Linked DNA regions of Xenopus tropicalis. The protein of the gene in region 3 purifies or fractionates together with the protein of the main gene of each other region. This does not show direct contact. Links are inferred from orthologs where the notes say so. Each region holds a gene or a part of one and is shown on either strand. Other genes may lie near its edges.

Region 1 (6,071 bases), on a different chromosome or scaffold from region 3:
TTAATTTGGATCCTGCAGAAATCTTGAACCATATCCTGGATTCGGTGATTCCTTTAAAATAATACAGTGAAAGCAATGAGAAATGGAATAGCATCACTAGCAAATAATAAAGTGAGAGGATTAGAAATTGCAGTTCAGCACAATATATTGTAAACAAAATGGGTAATGGCATCACTATAATTTATGACAGTGGCAGTGGTTCCTGTAAAAGCAATATATAGGCTGATTTGTTTCTCACCCTAAAGGTGGCCATACACGTTCTACCCCTATCTGACGATTCAGCCCCAAACTCTTGCCTTTGCTTGGGTGCCTTCAATGGTGCCTGATCAAAATTTTCTGTCCTGCCTGATCGACAAGACCAATATACAAGGCTTTTGCGATATTGGTTAACTCATCAATCCACTATACACGCAGCAAATATTGTACAAAACCTTGTTTTGCATGATAATGTTGGTGCTTGTATGGTAACCTTTAATCTTCTTCAGTTAGAGCAACAAAACCTCCAAAAATACCATATTTTGAAGTCTATCCAAATCTCTGCCAGTAATACATATCAGTCTTGTAAATGCATGCAATTGCCTTCTGCATTCTCACATGATTATGTGATGTAAATGTTTTTCCAGCAAAGATTCAGACTAACTTTAATACAAAGGCATTTTCAGATACTGATTATTCTTTAGTGCTGGACATAAAATGTCATGCATGCTATCAGTGTGCAAGAAGAACACTGAACCACTGTCAAACCACTTATATTGTAAGTTCTGTAGGGCAGGGATCTCCTTCCTCTTGTCTCTGACAATATTTAATGTAACTGTACTTTGTATCTATGTGTATTTATTATTGCAATGACCCCTTCTTAATTAATTTATTCATTTATTATTCTACTGTACTGTTTTACACTGGAGCTGTCCTTTGCTCTTCCGCTTATGCATGCTTTAAAATACAAAACCTGCAGCTTTGGCATTTTCTAACTTCCTGCAACTTAATGGTTCATCTTTTATTATCAAAGTGTAAATCCCTGTGCAGCCACATAGGTATTGGATAGGCTTTATACCTCCCTTCAGCCTGTCCAATCCCCAAGTGGCTGTACTGAAACTTACACTGTGACCTAATGAGCTGTTAAAAATGAGAAGTTAATAAAATCATGTCTTCCCCAAATGCCACCTGTCACTCCATAATCATCCATTGTTATATATAAACCCTTTACTCTTAGCTGTTAGTAGCTAGTGTGTTATATTATTAATCATAGTGAATTGTTATAAAAAGTTAAATAGAACTCTATGATTTCTATTAGGTTGTACCCCCTGCCTAATGCAGGCTGGGTGCATTAGGGTCACAACATGCCACATACTTTGGTAAATGTAAGAATACTGGGCATCAAGCTGTTCCAAAGATGAAAATAGTAAAATGGAAATAGCAACATGGTTTTACTCTAAAGTGGACAAAACCATAACATGTTGACGGGCGATGTAAAAGTTGTAGGGATGTACCAAATCCAGTATTTTGCCAAGATTTGGCCTTTTTCAGCAGGATTTGGATTTGGGCAGATTTATGCCTCTGACCGAAGCGAATCCGATTCCTTAAAATCACGTGACATTTTGTCACATAAACATGGAAGTTGAAGTTTTTTTTACTCTGCACTTTATCCCCTCCTCGTCCTAAAATTAGGATTCAGATTCAGTTCGGTACTTGGACGAATCTTTCACAAAATTGTTCAGGGTTTGGACGGATCCTAAAATAGTGGATTTGGGCGATCCCTTAAAAAGTGCTTGCGGCTTGTAATTGTGGGCAGGGCCTATTTTTGCCACAACAAATCAAAAGCATTTTTTACCAGAATTTATGCACATAATATGAATACATACATCTTTTTTTTCTATATTTTTACTGGAACTTTAACAATTTTTCCCAAACTGAAAAATTCAGTCTATTGCCATATGCAATATAATGGAACCTATGCAGTGGAATAGTTCAATAAACATGCAAGAGCAAGTTGCTTTACAGAGTGGTCTCACGTCGTTCCTGTGGGAATACTACAGCGCGACGCCTATAGGCTGCGTTTATAAAACTGGCATAAAGGGAAGCAATTGACAAACACCTCGTTCATTCTAAATAAGCATTAACTTGTATTGGTTTCAAATTCCCTAACATTTCCTTCACATTTGTTGCAGCATAACCGCTATCCCTTCCGCGGTGCTCAGCTGTAAAACGCCGTACTGTTTTTGAAGCACTAATGTGGAAGTGTGTGACGGGACGAATCCCGAGTGGGCGTTACCCAGGACACACGCTTGTTACGCGCATGTGCGTGCTGACGTCACCCAGTCCGTGTTCCTCCCGGCCGTGACGCGCTTGGGGCATTACGCGGTTGCCGCACTGTACTGTGTGTTGAGTCAGCGGTGACAAGGAGCGCAAGGGGGGAGGCGGAGGAGGAAAGAGCCGATACTGAACTGACCATAGTAACCCGAGCCTCGGAGCCCACACCGCTAGGCTGTGCCAGCTTTGGCCCGTTCTCCCCGCTCCAGCCTTGTCTTCCAGCGCTCGCTGCCTCTTTAAGTCACCCAGCTGCCTACCTGCTGGGCCTTCATTTGACATCTCATATTCGGCCACGTAACACAAGCGGCCTCCTCTTATTTTGCGTGTTGTGGGCCAGCCGAGCGGTGAATGGCGGTAGTTACACCCGGGGTCACCATGTCCAAACACGAACAAATCCTTATTCTTGACCCGCCCAACGAGCTGAAATTCAAAGGTAACGGGACGTATCTGGTTATGTGGTTCCGGGATGTGAGGCCACAATGCCCCGCTTTCCAGTTGTGTCTTGCGGGGAAAAGGCCTCTGATGGATGGAGAGAGTGTGGAGATTGCTGTTGCCTCTGTTGTGGTGAATCGGGGTGGCTAATCTCTGTCACATTGGTACTGGCAGCTGCACTCCTATCCACCACTGGAGGGCTGCAGCTTGGCCCTTTAGTCTATGGCACTGAGACAGCCAGTGCTAGCTGCTTACAGTGTGCTTTGTTTTACTTCTAATACTAACAGTGACAGCCTGAATAACACGTGATTGTACAATACCAGCAGATTTCACAATGCTGTACAGTAGAAGGGTGTATACATCAAACATACATTACATGAAATGTTTTAGTAAGTGTTAATTGGCCCATGATTCCCACTCTTGCAGCTCTAAAGCAATAAGTAAATATTATTTGACTTGTGGTGTTCAGGTGTGATTGGGCATTACATTGTAAAATACACTGGGGCAGGGATTTATGTGAATCATATATAATCAATGTAAAATGATGTGGTGTTCGTTGTTGCTATATAAATACAGGGTTGTGTGTGTGCTCAGAGCAGTCATGTCAGTAGCCATAGATTGCTTGGGCAGCTGTACAGAAAACTTGTTTAATGTTCAGGATTTAATTTAAGTATTGTTAGATTCACATAAGATGAAAGTGTGCACAGGCAGACTGTTGTTCCTGACAAGGCAATTAGTATAGTTGGCCATACATGGGCAGGTTTAAACTGCTGATTTGGTCCCTTCAGAACATTTTATCTGCCCATGTATGGGTCCTCCTGTCAGATTGCCCAGGTATCTATCAGGCAGGAGTAAATGCCTATTGGGGCATGGGTTACATTGCCTCATTTATGCAGTCCTCTCCTGGCCGCCTGTATCATTAGCCCGAAGATCAGTCCAGTATGGCCCAGCATATAATTGGCTTGTAAAGCGAAGTACCACACCAGCGCCTGCACATATTGGTAGCCTTCTTGGGAACTAAATGAACTCTCTGAAAACTGGCATTAAACAAGCACATAGGTGCCCATATTGGGCACAGAGCTGCTCATTTGGCAACCTGGACAAATGAGTGAATCTTCTTGTGTATAGCCACCTGAATACTGTGATAGGAAATATAAGGTGGGTGAGATCTTACAATTTCAGATCAATAATACAAGTGAAAGGATGAACTCTAAGCAGGTTTCAAGGACAACATTTATTTTTGGCCACCAGGTCTCTCTGTTTTAGCCTTAGGTATCCAGGTGTTGTGGGGTGTCAACTCCTTTAATTTCTTAACATATAATCCAAAATCCAATTAAAAGCATACTGAGAAAATAGGTTTCAGGCCACAAAACTGTTTTTAAACTGACTCAAACCACACAGATTTGCTGTCCCTATAGTGTGTTTGTGTGGTGGTGTTTTTTTTTTTTTTTTTTTTTTGGTAATCCTGAGGGAACTTTGGACTCTTACCAGTACAGTATTTCTCTGTTGCAGGAATGTCCCAGAATCCATTGGTTCTTTTTTTTATTTCTCCTACGCCTCACCTGCTTTTTATAAGCAATTTCACAATTTCTCTGCCCATTTGAAACATAATTGCCTACATTAAAGTTAAGATTACAGAAGGTTACAGGTGTTTTAAACATTACTGTTATTGCCATTTTTAAATCTCCTTTACAAACATTGTAATGTAAAATTCTGTCACTACAGGATCTGCTCCTACGAATGGGGAGCAAGGAGTTGAGGTATGTCAGGTTTACAGGTTTTAAGTAAAGATATGCTTTGGATCAAATTTTTAGTTTGGTCAGACCATCAGTGATCCAAAGGATTGCAGAAACATCCTAGGTGACATTTAGGTGCAGGCAGAAAAAAAAACACCCAATCTGGTCATAAATGTCCAATTTAATTCTATAAACTAAGCCAAAAACCTGTGCTTCTCTATTTTCTTTGTTTTCTTATTTTGCACTTCACAAACATGTACCAAGGAAGTAGCAGTCCTTATTGTCATAAAAAAAAAAAAAATCTAAACAATTTATTTTTTAATTTTTATTATTCACCTTTCATGAGAAACTCCACTACAGAGCTATACTAATGGCATCATGTGGGAGCACAAAATTGCACTGCAAGGCTCAGAAGGTTTGTCTGAGACTTGCAGGGATCTGGGCAAATCCTGAATGGACTACTGAGTTTAATGTATTCTTAATCTAATGGAGCAGGTATTCATCTGACAGACACTGGGGAAACAACTTTTGTCTGTGGTCACCCAGTAACACAATAAGAAATGTAGTAGTAAGGCATTTGTCATAAGCCCAGTTATGAGTTTAGTTTTCAGGTATTACTGGATTTTGTTTCAGCATGGGGATGTCAAAGCTTTATATGCAGGTATTTGCGCTTTTATTCCAATACCTGTTATCCAGAAAGCTCTAAGTTAGGGAAGACCATCTCCCATAAAGTCTATTTTAATCAAATATTTTTTAAACGAATTTCCTTATTCTCTGTAGTAATAGGACAATGCTGTGTTCTTGATATCTTAGAAATAAAAAGATATTTTTTTTTTATTGCAAGGTCATTGTGACTTAAAAAAATGGAATTCCCCGCCGCAGCTGTGGTTTGCAAAAGCAGTACTGCCGAGTACTGTTGGGGACTACACCATGTGCCTATTCCTCATGCAGGCAGCCATGTTGGGGCACATGTATGTACAGACTGTCCTAGGTCTGGGACACTTGTTTTCTAAGGGTATGTTCACCATCCCAATTCAGGTTTAGACATATGCACATGCACATATTGAATATATTTACTCTTGTAAATATCCTAATTTGCTCCCTGGTGGGTGCCTAACATATAGGCTACCTCAGTGTTAGTAGCTTTCCTTGTGCTTTTTTTTTTTTTTTTTCTTTTTATGGTTTTTTGGTGTAACATTTTTCTCTGTTGCACACAACCCAAGCATGTTAACAGTTTGGAGTCTCATCCAACTAGGTTTCCATCTTGAGTGAGCAACTGTGGCGTGACTATACAGTGGCCCCAGACAATGTTGGTTATCCTAAGTGGATGCATTAACTGGGTGATTGGTTATAAGTGTCTTCATTTCCATGACTAATATAGGGTATCATTGGTTTCAGCAGATTGGTAAAAGGAATAACTCCATAAAGTTCAACCTTTATTCTGGAAATGGTAACCATTGGACTCGTACATTCTTTTGTAAGGATGATTTTGACTGCAGGGTCAAAGTTAACTTGACCCCCTAGTATTTTGTGTAGCTGAGGGTTTGGATATATTGGTGGTTTTTATGATTTTGTCAACTTATTACGTTGTTG
Region 2 (6,117 bases), on a different chromosome or scaffold from region 3:
TTGGCCAAATATTGAACGATACCAAAGGGGTTAAAGAGAGCCGTGCATGGAGCAGAACCCTGCGGGAAAGGGCCGGATCTTGGCCGAACCCTGGGCTCAGTGCGTCCCTAATATAAATCTATAGATATAAATATAGTGCGGAGCTGTCCCAGGGCAGATAATCCCGAGGAACAGGGCCGGCCAACATGCCAACTAAATATAGTGCTGGTGTAACCGGGCCCTCCCCTACGGGAGAGATGATTCACTGCCCAACACCCCGGGATCTCTGCTCTGCTGGGGGCAACACCAAGGGAAACCCATACAGGGGGGCTTATTGTGGGTATTAATATGTACCCAGGTGCAATGACCCCGGCGCCGGAGAGCGGGTTATGCACAACATGTGCTGCTGGTTCTGTCGGGTCGGCTGTTTCCCCGTCAGGCCTGTATCCCCGACCCATAATGCACAGGGCAGGGGGTGTTCTATAAATATGGAGGTGCTGGGGGCCGGGCTGGCTGGGAATGAATGGAGCAGGATAATGTGTAGAACAGGTGGGGCATTGTGGGACATCCGACACTGTGTGTGCCCCCCATGTACAGAGATGGGATGGGGCACGGGGGGGGGGGGGCACCAGCTCCGCAGGGAACCCGCAAAAAGCCCCAACCCCAAGCAAAGGCAGCGCGGCGGGATATGTTGGCGCTTTATACATCAATGTTAATAATAATAATAATAATAATAATAATAACAGAGACAGAGCCCTGACCCAACAATCCCGCCTGAAAGCCCCATGTTTCCCAATAAATTAATTAATTAATAAGGAGCCAAAAATGGCAGTGGATGAAAGGTCGGGGAGTGGCCCCCACACCCATGGGTCGGACTCACCCTTCAGCCCCCCCAGGGCTTCCTACAATTGTCCGGCCTCCCTTGGTGGTTTCCTCACCGTTACAAAGTACCGAATACCCCCCCCACCCCACCCCGAGCCCCCAGTGTCACTAACGCACAGAGTGGGCGCAGGGTCCCCTACCCACACACACTGTGCCAACACTGCCCAATCAGCAGTCAGAAGGAATGCAGCCAATGGGAGGGGGGCACAGACAGGACTTTATGTATCACTGCCCCCAGTATATGCGCCCCATTACACCCTATATATACCCCCTGTATATTGGATACAGCATCGGGGCTGTGCACCCTGCACCCTACTGGCACTACGGGGGCATAAATGGATCAGGACTGGGGAGCACAGCAGGGCCCCAGGGAACCCCCATATAATTAGGGGGCACTACTCCTCTTTGTTATCAGGGAGCTCTCTGCCCTTTACCCACATACCAAACTGACAGTTATAATAGGGACCCCCTACCTTCAGCCCTGTATCCCAGCAACCCCTTGCACTCATGGTTACAAGACCTCCCTCAGGCAGGTTCTGAAATGGGATGTACCCCAGCGCCCCCCACTGGCCCTGCACCCCAGCGTCCCCCACTGGCCCTGCCCCCCAGCGCCCCCCACTGGCCCTGCCCCCCAGCGTCCCCCACTGGCCCTGCACCCCAGCGTCCCCCACTGGCCCTGTAATCCAGCGTCCCCCACTGGCCCTGCACCCCAGCGCCCCCCACTGGCCCTGCACCCCAGCGCCCCCCACTGGCCCTGCACCCCCCACTGGCCCTGCCCCCCAGCGGCCCCCACTGGCCCTGCCCCCCAGCGGCCCCCACTGGCCCTGCCCCCCAGCGGCCCCCACTGGCCCTGCCCCCCAGCGGCCCCCACTGGCCCTGCCCCCCAGCGGCCCCCACTGGCCCTGCCCCCCAGCGGCCCCCACTGGCCCTGCCCTCCAGCGGCCCCCACTGGCCCTGCCCCCCAGCGGCCCCCACTGGCCCTGCACCCCAGCGGCCCCCACTGGCCCTGCACCCCAGCGGCCCCCACTGGCCCTGCACCCCAGCATCCCCCATTCCAGGATTACAACTCATGCAGCCCAGCAGTACCCCCAAGCCGTACATTCCAGGATTATATCCCATGTAGCCCAGTAGTACCCCCAACCCATACATTCCAGGATTATAACCCATGTAGCCTAGCAGTACCCCCAACCCATACATTCCAGGATTATAACCCATGTAGCCCAGCAGTACCCCCAACCCATACATTCCAGGATTATAACCCATGTAGCCCAGTAGTACCCCCAACCCCTACATTCCAGGATTATAACCCATGTAGCCCAGTAGTACCCCCAACCCATACATTCCAGGATTATAACCCATGTAGCCTAGCAGTACCCCCAACCCATACATTCCAGGATTATAACCCATGTAGCCCAGTAGTACCCCCAACCCCTACATTCCAGGATTATAACCCATGTAGCCCAGTAGTACCCCCAACCCATACATTCCAGGATTATAACCCATGTAGCCTAGCAGTACCCCCAACCCATACATTCCAGGATTATAACCCATGCAGCCCAGCAGTACCCCCAACCCCTACATTCCAGGATTATAACCCATGTAGCCCAGTAGTACCCCCAACCCATACATTCCAGGATTATAACCCATGTAGCCTAGCAGTACCCCCAACCCATACATTCCAGGATTATAACCCATGTAGCCCAGTAGTACCCCCAACCCCTACATTCCAGGATTATAACCCATGTAGCCCAGTAGTACCCCCAACCCATACATTCCAGGATTATAACCCATGTAGCCCAGCAGTACCCCCAACCCATACATTACAGGATTATAACCCATGTAGCCCAGCAGTACCCCCAACCCCTACATTACAGGATTGTAGCCCAGCAGTACCCCCAACCCATACATTACAGGATTATAACCCATGTAGCCCAGCAGTACCCCCAACCCCTACATTACAGGATTGTAGCCCAGCAGTACCCCCAACCCATACATTACAGGATTATAACCCATGTAGCCCAGCAGTACCCCCAACCCATACATTACAGGATTATAACCCATGTAGCCCAGTAGTACCCCCAACCCCTACATTACAGGATTGTATCCCAGCAGTACCCCCAACCCCTACATTACAGGATTGTAGCCCAGCAGTACCCCCAACCCATACATTACAGGATTATAACCCATGTAGCCCAGCAGTACCCCCAACCCCTACATTAGAGGATTGTATCCCAGCAGTACCCCCAAGCCGTACATTAGAGGATTGTATCCCAGCAGTACCCCCAAGCCGTACATTAGAGGATTGTAGCCCAGCAGTACCCCCAACCCCTACATTACAGGATTGTAGCCCAGCAGTACCCCCAACCCATACATTACAGGATTATAACCCATGTAGCCCAGTAGTACCCCCAACCCCTACATTACAGGATTGTATCCCAGCAGTACCCCCAACCCCTACATTACAGGATTGTAGCCCAGCAGTACCCCCAACCCATACATTACAGGATTATAACCCATGTAGCCCAGCAGTACCCCCAAGCCGTACATTAGAGGATTGTATCCCAGCAGTACCCCCAAGCCGTACATTAGAGGATTGTATCCCAGCAGTACCCCCAAGCCGTACATTGCAGGATTAATGTGAGTGCCCCAGAGCCCCCGGTACCTCGGAACTTGAGCTCATGCTGGGGCTCCAGCTGAAGGATCTGCTCCACCTTGGCCATGTCTCCCGTGTGGGCTGGGGGTCCGGGCCTGTCCCGGCGGCGGTGGCGGCTGCAGGAGCGGGTGATGCAGCAAAGCGGCGGAGGGCGGAGGCTGCTGTGACGTCACGGCCCCTGCAAGGCCCGGGGGTGAGCGGCGCGCAGGCGCAAGGGCTGGGGGCGGGGCCGCGGCTGCGCACTGGGGCTCAAGGGCCAACATGGCGGCGCCTGGGGGGGAGGGGCAAGTTAGCGCTGGCAGCGTATGTGCGGGACCCCGTATCCGCCCTGTGTAATGTCACATAGATATCCGGGAATATAAACCCGCGGGATCTCCCCTTATTGGTACCGGGTTGTCCCGCCCCTCCTGCCGGTACCGCTCTCTCCCGCCGCCGGTACCGCTCTCTCCCGCCGCCGGTACCGCTCTCTCCCGCCGCCCGTACCGCTCTCTCCCGCCGCCGGTACCGCTCTCTCTCCCACCGGTACCGCTCTCTCTCACCGCCGGTACCGCTCTCTCTCCCACCGGTACCGCTCTCTCCCGCCGCCCGTACCGCTCTCTCCCGCCGCCGGTACCGCTCTCTCCCACCGCCGGTACCGCTCTCTCCCGCCGCCGGTACCGCTCTCTCTCCCACCGGTACCGCTCTCTCTCACCGCCGGTACCGCTCTCTCTCCCACCGGTACCGCTCTCTCCCGCCGCCCGTACCGCTCTCTCCCGCCGCCGGTACCGCTCTCTCCCACCGCCGGTACCGCTCTCTCCCGCCGCCGGTACCGCTCTCTCCCGCCGCCGGTACCGCTCTCTCCCGCCGCCGGTACCGCTCTCTCCCACCGCCGGTACCGCTCTCTCCCACCGCCGGTACCGCTCTCTCTCACCGCCGGTACCGCTCTCTCCCACCGCCGGTACCGCTCTCTCCCACCTCCGGTACCGCTCTCTCTCACCGCCCGTACCGCTCTCTCCCACCGCCGGTACCGCTCTCTCCCGCCGCCGGTACCGCTCTCTCTCACCGCCCGTACCGCTCTCTCCCACCGCCGGTACCGCTCTCTCCCACCGCCGGTACCGCTCTCTCTCACCGCCGGTACCGCTCTCTCCCACCGCCGGTACCGCTCTCTCCCACCGCCGGTACCGCTCTCTCTCACCGCCCGTACCGCTCTCTCTCACCGCCCGTACCGCTCTCTCTCACCGCCCGTACCGCTCTCTCTCACCGCCCGTACCGCTCTCTCTCACCGCCCGTACCGCTCTCTCTCACCGCCCGTACCGCTCTCTCTCACCGCCCGTACCGCTCTCTCTCACCACCCGTACCGCTCTCTCACCGCCGCCCGTACCGCTCTCTCACCGCCGCCCGTACCGCTCTCTCTCACGCTCTCTCCCGCCGCCGGTACCGCTCTCTCTCCCACCGCCCGTACCGCTCTCTCCCGCCGCCGGTACCGCTCTCTCCCGCCGCCGGGTACCGCTCTCTCCCACCGCCGGTACCGCTCTCTCCCACCGCCGGGTACCGCTCTCTCTCACCGCCCGTACCGCTCTCTCTCACCGCCCGTACCGCTCTCTCTCACCGCCCGTACCGCTCTCTCTCACCGCCCGTACCGCTCTCTCACCGCCGCCCGTACCGCTCTCTCACCGCCGCCCGTACCGCTCTCTCACCGCCGCCCGTACCGCTCTCTCTCACGCTCTCTCCCGCCGCCGGTACCGCTCTCTCTCCCACCGCCCGTACCGCTCTCTCCCGCCGCCGGTACCGCTCTCTCCCGCCGCCGGGTACCGCTCTCTCCCGCCGCCCGTACCGCTCTCTCTCACCGCCCGTACCGCTCTCTCCCACCGCCCGTACCGCTCTCTCTCACCGCCCGTACCGCTCTCTCCCACCGCCCGTACCGCTCTCTCTCACCGCCCGTACCGCTCTCTCTCACCGCCCGTACCGCTCTCTCTCACCGCCCGTACCGCTCTCTCTCACCGCCGGTACCGCTCTCTCCCACCGCCGGGTACCGCTCTCTCCCACCGCCGGTACCGCTCTCTCTCACCGCCCGTACCGCTCTCTCCCACCGCCGGTACCGCTCTCTCTCACCGCCCGTACCGCTCTCTCTCACCGCCCGTACCGCTCTCTCTCACCGCCCGTACCGCTCTCTCTCACCGCCCGTACCGCTCTCTCTCACCGCCCGTACCGCTCTCTCTCACCGCCCGTACCGCTCTCTCTCACCGCCCGTACCGCTCTCTCACCGCCGCCCGTACCGCTCTCTCACCGCCGCCCGTACCGCTCTCTCTCACGCTCTCTCCCGCCGCGGGTACCGCTCTCTCCCGCCGCCGGTACCGCTCTCTCCCGCCGCCGGTACCGCTCTCTCCCGCCGCCGGGTACCGCTCTCTCCCGCCGCCCGTACCGCTCTCTCCCGCCGCCGGTACCGCTCTCTCCCGCCGCCCGGTACCGCTCTCTCTCGCCGCCGGTACCGCTCTCTCTCGCCGCCGGTACCGCTCTCTCCCGCCGCCCGTACCGCTCTCTCCCGCCGCCCGTACCGCTCTCTCCCGCCGCCCGTACCGCTCTCTCCCGCCGCCCGTACCGCTCTCTCTCACCGCCCGTACCGC
Region 3 (5,857 bases):
TCCCCTCCCAGGTCCCCAGAGCTGAGTGTGAGCCCATAATACACCAGGCTGCACACAAACCTGCACCATGGGGAATGCAGAGTCAGAGGCTGCAGCAGAGGATTCTGGGATACCTCACCCTGACAAAGGGGATTCTGGGATATCTAACCCTGACAAAGGGGATTCTGGGATATCTAACCCTGACAAAGGGGATTCTGGGATACCTCACCCTGACAAAGGGGATTCTGGGATATCTAACCCTGACAAAGGGGATTCTGGGATACCTCACCCCGACAAAGGGGATTCTGGGATATCTAACCCCGACAAAGAGGATTCTGGGATATCTAACCCCGACAAAGGGGATTCTGGGATATCTAACCCCGACAAAGGGGATTCTGGGATATCTAACCCCGACAAAGGGGATTCTGGGATATCTAACCCTGACAAAGGGGATTCTGGGATATCTAACCCTGACAAAGGGGATTCTGGGATATCTAACCCTGACAAAGGGGATTCTGGGATATCTAACCCTGACAAAGGGGATTCTGGGATATCTAACCCTGACAAAGGGGATTCTGGGATATCTAACCCTGACAAAGGGGATTCTGGGATATCTAACCCTGACAAAGGGGATTCTGGGATATCTAACCCTGACAAAGGGGATTCTGGGATATCTAACCCTGACAAAGGGGATTCTGGGATATCTAACCCTGACAAAGGGGATTCTGGGATATCTAACCCTGACAAAGGGGATTCTGGGATACCGCACCCTGAGCAGAACAAGCTTGCTTAGTGGGAGGAGAGGGGTAAATAGGAGGCAAAGGGTAGTTGCCCATTCGGTACCTACCAGACCCACATCATGATGAGTGTGCGCTGGCGCAGGATGGCGTTGCTGTATATGGTGAGGATGTTGGCGCTGTGGGCGGAGTCTTTCTGCCGCGGGCAGAGAGTGAATGAAGTGACCTTCCTGCGGTTCCTGCGCCCCAGAGAGAGTAAGGATTCCTGTGCCTCGCGGAGGCGCCCCTGAGCGTGCAGCCAGCGGGGGGATTCTGGGATACAGCTGTAACCAACATGAGATTCCCGTTATTTCCCCTCCCACTAAGGGGTGTGGCCCCAACACTGACACTCCCACACCGATACTCACAGGGAAAGCGCCAGCACGGCCGCTCCTTGCACATTCACCAGCAGGGCCAGCAGCCTCCATGAGCGGATAAAGTACCCAATCAGGGCAAACTGGGCAATGCCCACAGCAAAGCAGAGGGAACCCAGCGAGCCTGTGAGCACAAAGAGGGGGGGCAGTGTGACACGGGGGCACAGAAGTGCTGAACTACAAACCCCAGTATCTGAGAAGTGGGGGTTCCAGTATCAGCAGCTCTGGGAAGGGACATGGGGTGTCAGGCAGCAAAGGGTTAAAGGCATTGTTCACCTTTTAGTTAACTTTTAGTTTGATGTAGAGACTTATATTCTGAGACAACTTGCAATTGGTCTTCATTTTTTATTATTTTTAGTTTTTCCACTTTTTGTTCAGCAGCTATCTGGTTGCTAGGGTCCAAATTACCTTAGCTACCAGGTAGAGGTTTACGCGAGAGGCTGGTATATGAAGAGGAGAGGGGCCTGAATAGAAAAAGTTATAAAACGTGACAATAAATCTATAGCATCGCGGAGCAATAGTTTTTAGCTGCCGGGGTCAGTGACCCCCATTGGAAAGCTGCAAAGAATAAGGCAAATAATTCAAAAACTATAAAAAATAAATAATGAGGACCAATTGGAAAGTTGCTTACAATAGGCCATTCTGTAACATAGTAAAGTTAAAAACATAAGAGGTGACCCACCCCTTTATGGGGCTGAATGCATTTTTGGGAGATCTGGTAACATGGATTTAACCACAGGCAACAAATCTTATTGTGTACAATTGCCCCTAGGGGTAATATAAAAACTTTGAGGGGGTGCAGCGAATAACAGGACAGGGTAATGGCCTGGGAGGAGCCATGGGAGGATTTAGAGAAGAAGGTGCAGTACCCGCAGCTGCCCAGTAGGAGGCACCAATACATTCATTGAGCAGGACAAAGGCCACGAGCGACATGCCGCCATTCATGACTCCTACGAGAAACCGCGTCAGCAGGAACAGCGGGAATATGGGGGTCAGTGCGTTCATCACGGCAAATACCACCTCCAGGGCCAAACCTGCGGGAACAAGAGACAAACCGGCCAATAGCCTCTCACTGCCAGCCAAGCCACACCCCCCAGAGTGCCAAGTGCCACCCCAGTCCCTGGCGCCTGCGTCTCCCTATAAAGATGCCCACTTGCCCCTTACCCGTCACATACACCGGCTTCCTACCAAACCGGTCCGACAGTTGCCCAAAGCTGATCACCCCGATGAGAACTCCTCCGAAATACACCGAGCTGGACACACTGACCTCGTACGCGGCCCCTCCCACTAGGAACCACTGGGAGACCCAGTGCAATGGGAAGGCAGGAGAGTGAGAGGCGGGTCCCCCAAACTGCAGGAAACCTTGCTGGGGGGGGGCGGGGGGTTACACCATGTATACTGGGGGGTACCAACAGGCGTACCTACCTCTGACACAATGGAGGTAAAGTTTCCATCAAAGACCACATGTCCATGTTCTCCCTCTGCAGGTAATTGGCTCCCATATTGCTTCCCCCGGCTGCCATTGGCTGTAAGGCTGTCATTCATCCAGTGGTATGGGGGGGTGGCCCCCAGTATGGTTATAATGATGGCTTCTGTGGCAGAGTAAAGCTGGGGGCACATTGGTTTGTATGAATAACGTCAGTTCCCAGGGTATCAGCTCCTTCTGCCCCCCCCCCCCATCAGCTCCTTCTGCCCCCCCCCCCATCAGCTCCTTCTGCCCCCCCCCATCAGCTCCTTCTGCCCCCCCATCAGCTCCTTCTGCCCCCCCCCCATCAGCTCCTTCTGCCCCCCCCCCCATCAGCTCCTTCTGCCCCCCCCCCATCAGCTCCTTCTGCCCCCCCCCCATCAGCTCCTTCTGCCCCCCCCCATCAGCTCCTTCTGCCCCCCCCCATCAGCTCCTTCTGCCCCCCCCATCAGCTCCTTCTGCCCCCCCCATCAGCTCCTTCTGCCCCCCCCCATCAGCTCCTTCTGCCCCCCCCATCAGCTCCTTCTGCCCCCCCCATCAGCTCCTTCTGCCCCCCCCATCAGCTCCTTCTGCCCCACCCCCCCCTGCTCTCAGCTCCTTCTGCCCCATCCCCCCACTATCAGCTCATTCTACCCCATCCCCCCCCCACTATCAGCTCATTCTACCCCATCCCCCCCCCACTATCAGCTCATTCTACCCCATCCCCCCCCCACTATCAGCTCATTCTACCCCATCCCCCCCACTATCAGCTCATTCTACCCCATCCCCCCGCTATCAGCTCATTCTACCCCATCCCCCCCACTATCAGCTCATTCTACCCCATCCCCCCCACTATCAGCTCATTCTACCCCATCCCCCCCGCTATCAGCTCATTCTACCCCATCCCCCCCACTATCAGCTCATTCTACCCCATCCCCCCCCGCTATCAGCTCATTCTACCCCATTCCCCCCTACTAACAGCTCTTTCTGCCCCATTCCCCCCCATCAGCTCCTTCTACCCCATCCCCCCCCCCGCTATGAGCTCATTCTGCCCCACCCCCCCATCAACTCCTTCTGCCCCATCCCCCCCCTGCTGCGAGTTGCTTCTGCCCCACCCCGATATCAGCTCCTTCTGGGACACTATATTCCCACTATATACACTGTGCAGACAAGGGGGGGCGCTGAACTTTTACCTCCCCAGTCAGCTGCCCCTTATAATCAGCCCCCCCCCCTGCCCCACATCATGTGACCCCCCCCCTGCCCCACATCATGTGACCCCCCCCCCACTCACCTGCAGCAGTACAGCCAATAGGAAGGAGAGGTAGATCTGATAGATTCCCATTTCCCCCACCAGCTTCAGTGCCCCCTCCACCTCCATCTGTGGGACCCGCCGGCCTGAGCATGGGGTGTCTGTAAGGGAACCGACCAATCATATTATACTGTGCCCAGAACTTGCCCCGCCTGGGGCATTACTGACCCACCCAGGGGTTACAGAGCCAAATACTGGCACAGTGACCAACTGCAATCTGTACCCCCGGGCCGCTCCCACTGGGGCAGAATCCTAGAAGCAGTGTTTGTCCAAAAAGCTGACACTCTAGCAAGGAGGTGGGGCCACTCATACCTGTGATTGGGAGCTGGCCAATCAGAGAGAGACCCCAGGAGAGAGAGTTAGTGATTGGCCAGTTTGGGGCAGATATGAGGGGCACAAACCCGGGAAACAGCAATGACTCAAACACGGAGACCCGCCCACTTATTGGCTACAGCCCCGCCCCTTGGCCCCACCCCCAATGTACCTACCCCATACTCCTATAACTCATCATAATATCTGCCCCTCCAGCCTGTAGCGCTATAGGAACGTACTTACCCCTCGGCTCGGGGTATGGGGGTAGGTACATTCCCCTCCCCCCCACACCTACTAACCGCTAGTTCCTCCGCGCTGTTCCACTACCTACACCCCCAGCCGGTACTTACCTCCCCCGTATCTTCCTGGCAGGTACAGCCCCGCCCACAGGGGGCGTGTCTTTGTTACTTTCTTTGTATACGTTTTTGATTTGTGCAAACCGAGCTACGGGGCGTGGCCAAGGATGTGGGCGGGAAAAAGAGAGCGTAGGAATTTACATCGATCGCGAAAGAGAGGCTTGAACCGCAAGACTATGGTTTGCCGGCTGAGTCAAGTAAATCTACCCGGTGCCCCACCTCAATTGCTCCCCATGGCTACAGTAACGCCTTCCCTCCTACTATATACTCCCCTCAGTATAGTAACCCTTCCCTCTCATCGTACAAACCCCTTCTCTACTACTTCATATCCCAATGTAGTTATTAACCCGTGAGTGGGCGGGACGCATGGGGCGTGAGTGGGCGGGGTGCATGGGAGGGCGGGCACTTGGTCTTAATTTTTTTATTATGTGTAGTTTTTTAATGATATCACTTTTTGTTCAGCAGCTCTGCAGTTTGGAGTTTCAGCAGCTATCTGGTTGCTGGGGCCAAATTATCTTAGCAACCAGGGAGTAATTTGAATGAGAGACTGAAAAATTGATAGGAGAGGACATTAATAGAAAGATAAGGAATAAAAAGTAACAATAAAACTGGAGCCTCACAGAGCAATAGGGTTTGGCTGCCGGGGTCAGTGACCCCCATGTGGAAGCCCAGTCTGGGGGTTTCCCCCCCAACACAATAAAACTGGAGCCTCAGAGCAATAGGGTTTGGCTGCCGGGGTCACTGACCCCCATGTGGAAGCCCAGTCTGGGGGTTTCCCCCCCAACACAATAAAACTGGAGCCTCAGAGCAATAGGGTTTGGCTGCCGGGGTCACTGACCCCCATGTGGAAGCCCAGTCTGGGGGTTTCCCCCCCAACACAATAAAACTGGAGCCTCAGAGCAATAGGGTTTGGCTGCCGGGGTCACTGACCCCCATGTGGAAGCCCAGTCTGGGGGTTTCCCCCCCAACACAATAAAACTGGAGCCTCAGAGCAATAGGGTTTGGCTGCCGGGGTCAGTGACCCCCATGTGGAAGCCCATTCTGGGGGTTTCCCCCCCAACACAATAAAACTGGAGCCTCACAGAGCAATAGGGTTTGGCTGCCGGGGTCACTGACCCCCATGTGGAAGCCCAGTCTGGAGGTTTACCCCCCAACACAATAAAACTGGAGCCTCACAGAGCAATAGGGTTTGGCTGCCGGGGTCACTGACCCCCATGTGGAAGCCCAGTCTGGAGGTTTACCCCCCAACACAATAAAACTGGAGCCTCACAGAGCAATAGGGTTTGGCTGCCGGGGTCACTGACCCC

Evidence for each region. The genes of interacting proteins can lie anywhere in the genome.
Region 1: the proteins of slc22a15.1 (region 3) and vapa purify together in Homo sapiens (co-immunoprecipitation; 3 studies listed by BioGRID and IntAct, with this or other methods). This does not show direct contact. The link is inferred for Xenopus tropicalis from reciprocal best matches to the Homo sapiens genes SLC22A15 and VAPA.
Region 2: the proteins of slc22a15.1 (region 3) and vapb purify together in Homo sapiens (co-immunoprecipitation; 3 studies listed by BioGRID and IntAct, with this or other methods). This does not show direct contact. The link is inferred for Xenopus tropicalis from reciprocal best matches to the Homo sapiens genes SLC22A15 and VAPB.

What each region holds. Positions count from the first base shown.
Region 1 is NC_030682.2:104,672,756-104,678,826, forward strand, and holds the start of vapa (vesicle-associated membrane protein-associated protein A), read left to right. Parts: upstream 1-2,391; 5' UTR 2,392-2,685; coding exon 2,686-2,743; intron 2,744-6,071. UniProt on the Homo sapiens protein: Endoplasmic reticulum (ER)-anchored protein that mediates the formation of contact sites between the ER and endosomes via interaction with FFAT motif-containing proteins such as STARD3 or WDR44.
Region 2 is NC_030686.2:2,709,281-2,715,397, reverse strand, and holds the start of vapb (vesicle-associated membrane protein-associated protein B/C), read right to left. Parts: upstream 3,681-6,117; 5' UTR 3,582-3,680; coding exon 3,524-3,581; intron 1-3,523. UniProt on the Homo sapiens protein: Endoplasmic reticulum (ER)-anchored protein that mediates the formation of contact sites between the ER and endosomes via interaction with FFAT motif-containing proteins such as STARD3 or WDR44.
Region 3 is NC_030678.2:1,131,524-1,137,380, forward strand, and holds the start of slc22a15.1 (solute carrier family 22 member 15 precursor), read right to left. Parts: upstream 4,029-5,857; 5' UTR 3,984-4,028; coding exon of another isoform or gene 3,916-3,983; coding exon 3,865-3,915; intron 2,738-3,864; coding exon 2,555-2,737; intron 2,427-2,554; coding exon 2,294-2,426; intron 2,164-2,293; coding exon 1,999-2,163; intron 1,254-1,998; coding exon 1,124-1,253; intron 1,040-1,123; coding exon 827-1,039; intron 61-826; coding exon 1-60. UniProt on the Homo sapiens protein: Organic zwitterion/cation transporter with apparent specificity for amino acids and their derivatives. Has low affinity for its substrates and may regulate their flux across the plasma membrane at high substrate concentrations.